Linked DNA regions of Cricetulus griseus. The protein of the gene in region 2 interacts with the protein of the main gene of each other region in a biochemical or structural test. Links are inferred from orthologs where the notes say so. Each region holds a gene or a part of one and is shown on either strand. Other genes may lie near its edges. The genes, in order: Ptpn12, Pxn and Tln1.

Region 1 (3,648 bases), on a different chromosome or scaffold from region 2:
CAGCTCATAGCTGTCTGTAACTCCGGTTCCAAGGGATCTGACAGCCTCATACAGACATACATGCAGGCAAAAGTACCAATGTACATGAAATAAAAATAAATAATATTTAAAAAATGTTATCTAAACTACACCTAAATTTTGCTGTAGGTTCCAGTATGGTGTGATATCATAATGCTTGGACAGAGCTAAACTGTGTAGAACAGAGATGGGCAGACAACAGAGCGAGAGTCAGACCACAGTACCTTTTTCAGCACCCGAATGTAGCGTTCCTCCCAAATCCTGTCTAGCAATGGACATTGGCAACACTTTCCTAGTGGAAGCGCTTTCGGCACTCCTGGCAGCAGAAACAGTGGCACTTGCTGTTGAAATGCTAGTTTTGCTCTTGGTCACAGCACCATCTGAATCCCCTTCATCTGCATCTGAATCATCAGAGTGAAGAGGGTTGGTAAAGCTGAGCAATGCTCCCGACACAGGGGAGCTGTTATGGGGATCCACGAGCTCACGAGCCTCCACTTCTGTTGTAGAGCTTGCTGTTGAACTCACAGTTTTTACAGGCTGAGAATGGTTATCTGGTGATTTGCCTTCAGATGAGTCAGATACAGGGGTAGCATTTTCAGGTCCATGAAATGACCATGTCACGTGTCCTTTCTTATCAAGAGGCAAGCGGTCTGGCCGTGACAGTGTGTGTGAGTTTGGAGATTCTTCTGAAGAATCTGGGGCTCTGTCTGAATGTGCCGCACCGCAGTCCACACAAGAATTCTGAGGAACATCAACTTTTATATCACCTAAATTTAACTCCTGTGGCCTGGAGGTTTTGTCAACCACAGACGATGAAGCAGATTTAATTTTAATTGCATGTGCTCTATTCAAGAGTGTGTTCCCATCAAAACTTTTGGGTCCTTCTTGGAGAGGGACTTTCTTAATCTCAAAACTTAAATTTCGCTCTAATTTTTTATCTATGTGTTCAACAGTTGATTCATTTTTCTCTGTAACATCTGATGGTTTACTGTAATTTCTGTTGAGGTCTGTTGAATGCTGTTCTGATGAGACCATGTGCAACACTGGCTTTGGGTGGTACCTGTCACTGTCCTGCCACACAGTAGTAACGGTTGGAAAGGCTGAAGGGGGAGACGGCGTCAAGATGGGAGGAACCGGGTGAGGTTCTGGTGGCTGCAGTATTTCTTCCTTGGCATCCCCTTCTACAAGGCAACTGGAAAACAACAAACTGATTTAAACAATGTTTAACATTTTAAAAGTAAGTTGACAAATGATAATTTTGTAGCAAAAACTATTACATTAAAATCCATTACAATATGGTTATAAAGTTCTGATTTGTAAGACTAAGACAAATCTGCATTTATAAAGGTAACACAGATTTATTCTTTTTTTTAAAGATTTATTTATTTATTATATATATACAGTATTCTGCCTGAAAGTATGCCTGCAGGACAGAAGAGGGCACCAGACCTTGATAGATGGTTGTGAGCCACCATGTGGTTGCTGGGAATTGAACTCAGAACCTCTGGAAGAGCAGTCAGTGCTCTTAACCTCTGAGCCATCTCTCCAGCCCAGATTTATTATTTTAAAGTCATATGGCTTTAATGAAAAAAAGTAGTTCCCTCTTCTAGTCTGTATTAACCAGAGGTACCTACTCTAAAATTTTTCCACAGGGCTGAGAGGTGGTAGCACACACCTTTAGTCTCAGCACTTGGAAACAGAGGTAGATGGATCTCTCTGAGTTTGAGGCCAGCCTGGTCTCAAATATAGCAAGTTCCAGGACAGTCAGGAGTACATATTGGGAAAAAGAAAAAAAATTTACAGCTACTTTTAAGATACACCTTAATATTTTAAGATGTTGACACTGCTATTACTTCTTAATCTTTCTGTTTTAAACGCTATACTTCCTACTTTGGAATTATCTCCTATTCTACCTTCCCAATATTTTTTATTTTGTTTAGAGAAATCTACGACCATTAGTATTATTCACACTTATGACACCATGTTTTCTTTCATTCTAGAACTTCTTGTTTTCCCGTTAAGTCTTGGGATTTTAATGGCTTAGTTCTTGGCAATCAGTTCTTTTAACTTTCCAGCAGATCCCTGTGTGTCCTGTCAGGCCATGCACACCAGGGAGGCATCAACACCGAAGTCCTCCTCTTCAGACAGTGTGGCCGCCCCATCCCCTGTGTCTCAGACTTGCATGGTTCCCAGCCCATCTTACTCTTCCTACGCAAACTTTCACGTCTGTGTGCTACAGTCTCTCAGCTCTGTACATAAGGCAAACTTTTGTTTTAAAGTTATGTTGCCTTTTCAGCCAGAGTCTCAGTACATAACCTAGTCTGGCTTTAAAGGTACCTGCTGCCTCTGCCCCGCAAAAGCCGTGATTACAGGTGTGTACCACCTTACTCAAGAGATGTGAGCTTCTAGAGGACTAATATACTTGTACCTTCAGAGGTACTAACTTCTAACAAAAAGAATTGTTCTCTATAGCTTTATGATTCTGATTAAGTATAGCTTAACTGCAGTGAGGGTCGAGCATGCAAGAGAATCTGGGTACAATCCTCACCAGCAAACAGAACACATCAACTCCTCCCCCTTTGCTAAAAGGTAATATATTAATGAAGAAAATAATAAAAACTGGAAGCATAACACAGGTCAATTTCCCACACCCACATGGGAGCCTATAAATGTTTGTAACTCTAGTCCGAAACGGTTGATACTCTTTTCCAGCCTCTATGGGCACCAGGCACACACAGTGTAGACAGGTGTAAAAGAAGTTTAAACACTCATACATGTTAAAAAAAATACTGTGTCTGTGTGTTTGAGTATGTAAGTCCAAGGAGGACAGAGGAGGACATTGGTTCCCCCGGAGCTAGAGTCACAGGTGGTGGTGAGGAATTCAACTTGGGACCTTACCTGCTGAGCCATCTATCTAGCCATAGTTACTTATTTTTTTCAACTAAAAACATGGTGCCTTCTATACTACTTACATCTCAGAATTGAGAAAGCTGCTTTTACCCATGCTATATCTTTTCTGACCTCTACCAATAACTTTAAAAATTATATCTGAGACACAAAGATGTTTTTAACAGTGAAAGGAAACAATGCAGTGGGAGACAACACAGAAGGCACAAAGTTAGAGAGCTACTTTATGAACAAGCATATGACCCTAAGCATGCCAACCTGCAATCAGTAACAAAAACTTTGCATTTTAAGTGGTGAATCTAGCTCAGTTAGATTGTGCTCTAAACTTTATTTTTTCTCCAGGCAGGGTTTCTCTGTGTCTTTGGAGGCTGTCCTGGAACTAGCTCTTGTAGACCAAGCTGGTCTTGAACTCACAGAGATCTGCCTGGAATTAAGGGCATGTGCCATTAACACCCGGTCAGTCTTTTTTTTTTTTTTTTCTTTTTTAATCCCTTCGGTTATATCTATGGCTATAAGTTTGACAAGTATATTGTATTTTCTTCTCCCCAAAATTTATTTATTTTATATCCTGGCTGCAGTTTCCCCTCCCTCCTCTTCTCCCAACCGGGGGGGGGGGAGTGCGGGGAGGGTTTCAGGTTAGAAAAGGACAGTATCAACAAAGCATGGCATATCAAGTTGCAGTAAGACTAAGTATCACCCCATGTATTAAGGCTGGGCAAGGCA
Region 2 (3,748 bases):
TCCTCCAGGGCCCCGAGGAGCTGCTAGTCATACTGAGGAAGGGTAATGGATGGGAGCAGGGAAGACAGAGAGAATCAGAGGGCACCTTAAAATCCGACAGTGAAGCCATGAGCTCGTCCAGCTCCCTGGTAGCAGAGGAGGCCGAGATGCGTGTCTGCTGCTGGCTGGAGGTGACTCGCTGTGGGCTGCTCATCTCACCTTGGTTCACAGTGATAGCCGGGCTGTGGGGCAGGCATGGAGTCAGTAAGGAGCCCAAGGGTCAGCCCCAGGCTCCACGGGGGGGGCTCCAGATCAACGACACCTCCAACTCCAGGGAAGGCCACCAGAACCCAGCAGCACCTTAGGGATCCCCATCCCTGGGAAAGAGTGACTAGCTAAGAAACAGTGCTGAGGTGAGGTGACCAGAGAAGGTAGGTGGTTCACAGTACCCCTACAGGAAGACAGGGGCACCACTACAAAGCCTCTCAACACTATACACATGCGAGATTATTACACATCAATAAACACTGACACATGGTGGCTCATCCCTGTAACCCAGCACTTGGGAAGCTGAGGCAGGAGGGCTACTACATAGTGAGTTTCAGAAGAGTCTGGGATATAGAGTGAAACCCTACCTCAAAATAAACAAGACCTGACGCTATTAGGGGCTTCCCTAATAGCTGTGATTGCCACAGCTACGAGCCAGCCCCCACCCCCCCCAACATTATATACTATTATATACTATTTGGTCTCACTCTATTTACTATGTAGGGTCATCTCCATTATTACTGTCTGCTTTACCTATTTTATAGTTTATGTCGTATTTTTGCGCTATGGTCTCATGCAGTTCAGACTGTCTTGGAACTCACTTATATAGCCCAGATTGGTCTTGCACCTGAGATCTCCAAACCTCGACCTCCCAAATGCTGGGATTATAACCATGTGTCACCATGCCCTACTTTGGCTTATTCCAACTTATAGAGCGAGAGTAAGACTGTTGTAGCTGGCACAGCCATGATCTAAACCCTGTGCCACATCAGCAAACCTGTGCTAACCCTGGCTTTGCCGGGTCATGCCATATCCCCAGGACCTGGCAAGTAGCAGACACTGTAGGGAGCAGGTGACTTCAGGGCTGATGGACAGGTACCACACAGCCCGAAGACAGTCGGGGTGAGACTTCAAGAGCTTCCCCAGCCTGGGGAGACCCTAATGGATACTCACACAGGGCTAGGCACAGAACTCTCCAGTTCATCCAAGAGGCTCTCCACGCTGGGCCGCACATCCTCCAGGCCCCGGCCTCCATTTCGCTTTGGCTTCTCTTTCATCAGGGGCCCAGTTTTTCCTCCCAGGGTACTGTTACTCTCTGGGACACCATAAAGGGGGCTCAAGGCTCCAGGTAGTGGGGGGCTTGAGTTGGCTTCATCTTGGAGATAAGGAAACAAAATGGTTGCTCATCCCTGAGTCCTCTAGGAACCCAAAGGCCCATGAGTAGTCCAGAGACCCGCTCACACCTGCAGGGAAGCCTGAAGGGTTGTGCTGCACAGCGTTCAGTTCTAGTAACAGACGGTCAAGCTCCGAGAGGTTGTTGCCCAGGGAGGAGCTCATCATGGTAGGTGAAGGCTCTGCGGACTTGTGTTTGTTGGGGAAGCTTTGAGAAGGAGAGGAAACAAGTAAGACTCTTCTGCCCTGCACTGGATGTGGCAGGCCCCAGATTCTCAAGGCCGGAGGGGTGGAATGTTACCAAGTCTCTTCAGCAAGAAGGCGGAGGGTAGGGAAGGAATGTGGTAAGGCAAGGAGGAAGGAAATTTTGCTTCAGTTTCTCAACTACAGAGATGCTGTCTCTACAGAGAAGGCAGTGACAGGGCAGAGGGGAGCCAGCTGACAAGCACAGGGCCTGGCAGGGGCCTTCAGGCCTTCTATAGTTCCACCAGTGGCCCTAGGGTTTCCCAGAAGCCGGGCTGATGTACAGTGCTGGTTCTGTACCTGTAGACGTGTTCTTCCTCGCCTGCTCGGGAACAGAGAGCGCTGTCCTGAGGGTTAGAGGCACCGGAAGTCTTAGCACTGGAGCTGTACACAGGTGACGGGGATGGAGGCTGCAGAAGAAAGAGTACTTTACTCAGGCCACCCCCAGGCAGCTCCTGCTCATAGCTTGTCTCACCAGGGAATTTCCACAGCTAGTCAGGTGATTAATACTTGGTCACTGGCCCCTCACATGGTGGGTGAGAAGGGCAGTGTATGACTAGGAGCCCAGAATCCCAGTCCATCCCCAATGGCTTTCCATCTCCTCGGCAGATCAGCTCCTTTTACCACTCAGCCCCCAAGGGCTCCGCAGACCCCACCTTACCTGCTGGTGAGTGTATCGGGAACCACTAGGCTGCCACTGGTCTAAGGGGTCAAGGATCGTGCCATTGAGGGCCTCGCTGGATGGGGGTGGTGGAACAGGGGGTGGCACTGCAGTCTCCTGATAGGTATGGTTTCCAGTTGGGTAGGAGTAAGGGGGCTCCTCTGACAAGAACACTGGCCGTTTGGAGATGTGGGAGGTGGTTGATTCCAAGTCTGCCAGCAGGGCGTCTGCAAAGAGAAGACGTCCACTGGTGAGAGTTGGCCCTATTGGGCACTTCCCAGGGGCAGTGTCCTGCCTTCCTGAACTTGAAGAGATCCTGTCTGGCAGACACCTGCTGCTTCGATGGGAGAAGAGACCTGGAGTTTCCACATCGGCTGCCCGTCCTCTCCTCCCTCAGGGGTTAGATGCCTGGCTCTGCATTCCTCCTGACAAGGCTAGGCTGCTGCTGCCTGGTGTAAGCAAGAAATGCCTGCTTAGAACTCTGATTCCTGAGGGCAACTGGGAGAGCTGGGTGGGAGGAGTCCTACGTCATGTCACAGCACAGGGAGGGGCTGGGTAGATAGAGCCAGGTCCTCTCTGGACTTCTAAGAGCCTCAGCCCAAGTCTAAAGACAGGGGGTGGCCTTAGGGAGCACCTGTGCTCCAGGTAGGAGCGGAATTCCATGCTCTAAGCTCCTCCTGAGGCCCCAGGCTGTGGGTAAGGTATGCAGAGAGGTAGGGGGCTGGCATGAAGCCAGCTCGGCAGCAGCCACCCCCTCAACAAGCTGGGAGTAAGACTGCTCTGCCAAAGCCTGGCAAGCAGCCCAGCCCTAGAAACTCCAGGGCCCCATGACTCCGCTTTTAATGGGGGGTGGGTCAGATCTCCAACACAAGCTGCCATTACCCTGGCATGCAGTAGCCGACAAGAGGCTCAGGTTCTCGACAGGAAGGGACAGCTAGAGGGACAGGAGTTGGAGGTACTGACCTTCCTGCCATAGCCTCCCATCTTGGGACCTTCCACAGTGCCACGGCCTGGGTACAGTCCAGCCCCGCTCACCACACCCTCCCTCCTTCCTGCACTGCTCACTGACCTGCTCACTCTCAGCATCTAGTGACCTGCTTCCTGGGCCCTCGTGAGTGGCAATCGAGGGGCAGTGGCTGCACTGCACTGATCACCATCTACTAGGAACCACTAAAGGCATCTACACGCGTGGTCACAAACAAGTGCCCCTTCTGGTGACCTAAAAGGCCAAACTGTTGTCTTTGGAGCTGAGGAAAGTAGGCTTGGAGGCTAGCAGTACCTGCCCTGAGTGATAAAGCAGGAAAGGGCAGGATCACAAGACTCCTCAGACTCCTTAAGTCCCAGACACCAAGCCTGCAGGAGGGACTGCTGTGATTTCAAAGAGACAAGATACCAAATCTAAGGAACTCAACTTCCTACACACCA
Region 3 (3,648 bases), on a different chromosome or scaffold from region 2:
TTATATGCTCTTAACTGGTTATGGAGAATAAAGTGTACTGTTAGCCACAGAGACTAGTGATGCACTAGAAGCTTCGGGATTGGCCAGTGACATGGGAATAGAAAATGGTTTTGCAGGCAGGGTTTCCCAAGTAGGGTGACTGCTGGGTGCAGGTAGGAGAAAGAGGCCTGATGGGCAGACTGCTTCAATCTCCTCTGCTCCCATTCTGAGCCAATCAAGTCAGGTGACAGAGTTCACTCCTGTCCTCCCCAATACCCCTGGGGAAGATCTTCCATCTCCTCACAAAGCCAGGCTGCAGCTGCAGGTAGGTAGAATCACCTTTATTGGAGCATGACCTTTTTGGGGTTTACAACCCCCAAGCTCCATAGGTAGCTGGGGTAGGCCATATAGTATCAAAATAGGATGAGTTGAGCTGATGCAGCTGTGGGGACTGGCTGGAAGCGGCTGGCAGGGTGGAGCAGCCGGAGGCCCTGGCAGGTTCAAATTGAGGTACAGCAGCGTTAATAATACTCTTGGAGCGTTAATACTCTGGGAAGGGACAGGCACTTAGGGGCCCTAGGGTACGAAGGCACTTGGAGTCAGGGAGAGGACAGGGCTTGCAGTGGGACTGGGCAGGGCCAGGCCCGGGGTTTGGCAGGCACTTTAGGGGAGTGCTGGGGTTGGGCAGGTTGGGCCCTGACAGCCCAGAAGGCTTTGGTAGTGGCAGGCACAGTCTCTGGGCTGGGTCTGCATTAAATAGAAATGGCTTCCCTAGTGCTCATCTCGAAGTTCTGAAGGCAAAAACTTGTACTGCTGCTGCCGGATCTGGGCAAGCTTTTTCCGTGCCTCTTCCAACTCTCGTTCCTTCCGAAGCATCTCTTCCTGTGCTGCGATAATCTGGGGGATGAAGGGCCAAGAAAGCTCAACAAGATGTGCATAGGGCAGAGGCTGGGTGGGATAGCGCACGCAACAAGACCATGTTCCCAACAGTGTCCCTCGGTGGCTCACCTGGGCAATGCCCCCAACCATTTTCTCCTTCACCACCACTGTTTCATTCTCCTGGTCTTCAAAGGCTGCAGCCTTCTGGGCTGCCTTCACCAAGTTGTCTGAGGCCCTCTTCACTGCATTGCCAGCAGCCTGCACAAGAAGAAACAGCCCCTCCTGAGAACTCAGGGTTCTAGTTCAGAGTTCCTTGATGCCCATAAAGAAACTTATCTCGGGTGTGAAAGTGCTAACTGTCAACTTTACACAATCTGAGATCACCTGAGAAGGGAGTAAAAACGAAGGATTGTCTGGATTGGGTTGGCCTGTGGGTATATCTGTGGGGAAATGACTACATTAATTAAGTGGGAAGAACTGCCCACGGTGAGCAGCACTATTCCTTGGGCACTCTGGATTGTGTGAGTGGGAATGGCAGTTTAAAGCGGTGCAGTAGTGGGATGGGTAGAGTTTTTTACCTGAAGCCGTTTCATTGCCTCAGAGTCTTGATCAGCTTTGACCTTGCAAGCTACCAGGAGCTGGGCTGTGGAGGCAGCTACCTGCTTAGCTGAGGAAATGAGTTTCTCCTGGCTAGCATGGCCCTGAACAGCTGCATTGGCTGCCTCACACAGATTGTTGGTGGCTGCAGCCACCATGCGGGCCTAACGGAGAAAGAGAGTTAAGATTAAAAAATGCTTCGTGCTCTGGCCCTTTCCATTTCATTCCAGCCTCATGTTATACACTCACAGCAGAAATGAGGCCCTGGGACCACTGTCCATCGTCCAGTGCATTGGCTGGAATGGCGCCCACCTGCAGAAGAAAGAAGGGAACCCACTTAGACCTATGCTGTCCTTCCTGCAAAGCCGCTCTGCTAAGGATGCAAATGGGATCTGCCACCTTGTCCTCATCCTGCTGGGGATGAGTACTGACCTTTCCTTGAGCCACCAGCTCCCTTTGGGCTGCTGATGCAGCCTTTACTAGTGCACTGGTGGCTGCTGCGATGGACTTGGCAGCTTCTAGGATTTGTTCCTCAAAGTTCAAGGACTCATCTGCCTCCTATAAAGAGAAGGTTGCAGAGGGCCAGGGAGTGGGGAAGCTGTAAGAAAGGGGACAAAGGTGGAGACCTCCTGCCCCTATTGAGGGTGGAAGGCGAAGGAACAGCTCTGACCTTGGGTTTGGCCCGGGGCTTCAGCTGCTCTAGCTTTTTGGCTGCAGCCTCAATGGCAGCTGCGGCTCCTAGGAGCTCATTCTCAGCAATAACAGTGGGGTCCTCTGGGTCCACCCACTCTGTTCCTGTGGGATGAAGACAGAAGGAAGATGCTGAGGCAGGGTAGGGAGGTCAGACCCACTAGAGAGTTTGTTTAGCATCACCAGTCCCTGGCACCTATGAGGACTAGAAGCAGAGGCTAGCTCTGAGCTATCCAACCAAGAAGTAGAGACCATACCGTTTCTCATTACCCTTTACCTTTCATGGCCTCAGCAGCCTGGATGAGCTCAGTCACTGAGCCAGCCACCCGCTTTGAGTGTCCTGTCAATTGCTGCTTCAGTTCTGGGTTTGGCTTTTGAAGGGTCTGGGGGAAGGGAAAGTGTACACAAAGAGCATCAGATCCTAGGTTCCACCTTGACCCGTGAAACAAGGCAGACCATGCTCCCGGCCCTAATCTCTAGAGCACTCATAGCACAGCCCTCAAACACTTTGTCCTACTCAAGTACACACAGTGCATCATGCTTCACACACAGTCAAGTGTGGGGCTGTCACTCACCGGCTGACAACAAGGAGAATGATGAAATATGAAGAGACGGTAAAGGTAGAGAAGGGGAGGTGAGAAGGAAAAAAAGGAGACAAGAGAAGAGGAAGAAGAGATGAATGGGAGAAACAAAGACCATGAGAACAAGAGTCCCAGAGGAAGGAGACTTGGAAATGAGAATGGATTTGGGAACAGGTGGTAGGGTGGGTCTGGGTCAGGGCTAGGAGCAACATCTCCTTACCAGTAGCACGTGGTCCAGCAGCTCCAGGTAACCATTGGCACATTCCCGGCCATAGTGCAGAGCTCGAAGCCGCACATCTGGTGCCACTTCTGGGTGGAAGGCTGCTTCCTGTTCCCAAAGTAGCAGGTTAGCTTTAGCTTTCAAGGCTCCCATATCCCCGCATGCCACCACCTCACTACCAGCATTTCTACCTTGCAAGCCCGAAGCATATCTGCAATAGCACGTCGGCTCAGATTGGCTGTGGCAATGACATCTTCCTGTCGACAAGAATTGCCAGCAGCAACAGCTTTGGCTGTTGCCATAGTAATACCCTTGGTCATTCGGATGAAATCTTCAGGGGTAGAGGTCTTGGCTGGTGGTTCTGGGGAACAGAAGACCTGTGGGAAAAAAGATGGGAGATTTCACAGCGTTTAAGACGGGAAGACAGTCATGTGATTTAGCTCACATATCCATGTGTTCCCTCAAAAAGCTTTTCTTTTCTTTCTGATGGTGTGTGTGTGTGTGTGTGTGTGTGTGTGTGTGTGTGTGTGTGTGTTGGAGAAAGGTTTCTCTGTGTAGCCCTGGCAATCCTCAAACTTAATAAGAGATCCACCTGAGTGCTGGGTTAAAGGCTTGTGGTACCACTGCTGGGCTCAAAAAAACGTTTCTTCAATAGCTACTATAGGTCAATCCTTGCAGATACTCCTACATCACAGTTAACAG

The links.
Region 1: the proteins of Pxn (region 2) and Ptpn12 form a complex in vitro, tested with the Homo sapiens proteins (4 studies listed by BioGRID and IntAct, with this or other methods). The link is inferred for Cricetulus griseus from reciprocal best matches to the Homo sapiens genes PXN and PTPN12.
Region 3: the proteins of Pxn (region 2) and Tln1 form a complex in vitro, tested with the Homo sapiens proteins (3 studies listed by BioGRID). The link is inferred for Cricetulus griseus from reciprocal best matches to the Homo sapiens genes PXN and TLN1.

Annotation. Positions count from the first base shown.
Region 1 is NW_023276806.1:173,476,643-173,480,290, reverse strand, and holds part of Ptpn12 (tyrosine-protein phosphatase non-receptor type 12), read right to left. Parts: intron 1,211-3,648; coding exon 243-1,210; intron 1-242. UniProt on the Homo sapiens protein: Dephosphorylates a range of proteins, and thereby regulates cellular signaling cascades. Dephosphorylates cellular tyrosine kinases, such as ERBB2 and PTK2B/PYK2, and thereby regulates signaling via ERBB2 and PTK2B/PYK2.
Region 2 is NC_048597.1:95,638,738-95,642,485, reverse strand, and holds the start of Pxn (paxillin), read right to left. Parts: upstream 2,710-3,748; 5' UTR 2,695-2,709; coding exon 2,655-2,694; intron 2,551-2,654; coding exon 2,324-2,550; intron 2,073-2,323; coding exon 1,963-2,072; intron 1,628-1,962; coding exon 1,491-1,627; intron 1,403-1,490; coding exon 1,201-1,402; intron 222-1,200; coding exon 86-221; intron 1-85. UniProt on the Homo sapiens protein: Cytoskeletal protein involved in actin-membrane attachment at sites of cell adhesion to the extracellular matrix (focal adhesion). Recruits other proteins such as TRIM15 to focal adhesion.
Region 3 is NC_048595.1:99,984,134-99,987,781, reverse strand, and holds the end of Tln1 (talin-1), read right to left. Parts: intron 3,324-3,648; coding exon 3,138-3,323; intron 3,055-3,137; coding exon 2,947-3,054; intron 2,529-2,946; coding exon 2,423-2,528; intron 2,251-2,422; coding exon 2,126-2,250; intron 2,014-2,125; coding exon 1,888-2,013; intron 1,768-1,887; coding exon 1,705-1,767; intron 1,620-1,704; coding exon 1,437-1,619; intron 1,117-1,436; coding exon 988-1,116; intron 877-987; coding exon 751-876; 3' UTR 300-750; downstream 1-299. UniProt on the Homo sapiens protein: High molecular weight cytoskeletal protein concentrated at regions of cell-matrix and cell-cell contacts. Involved in connections of major cytoskeletal structures to the plasma membrane.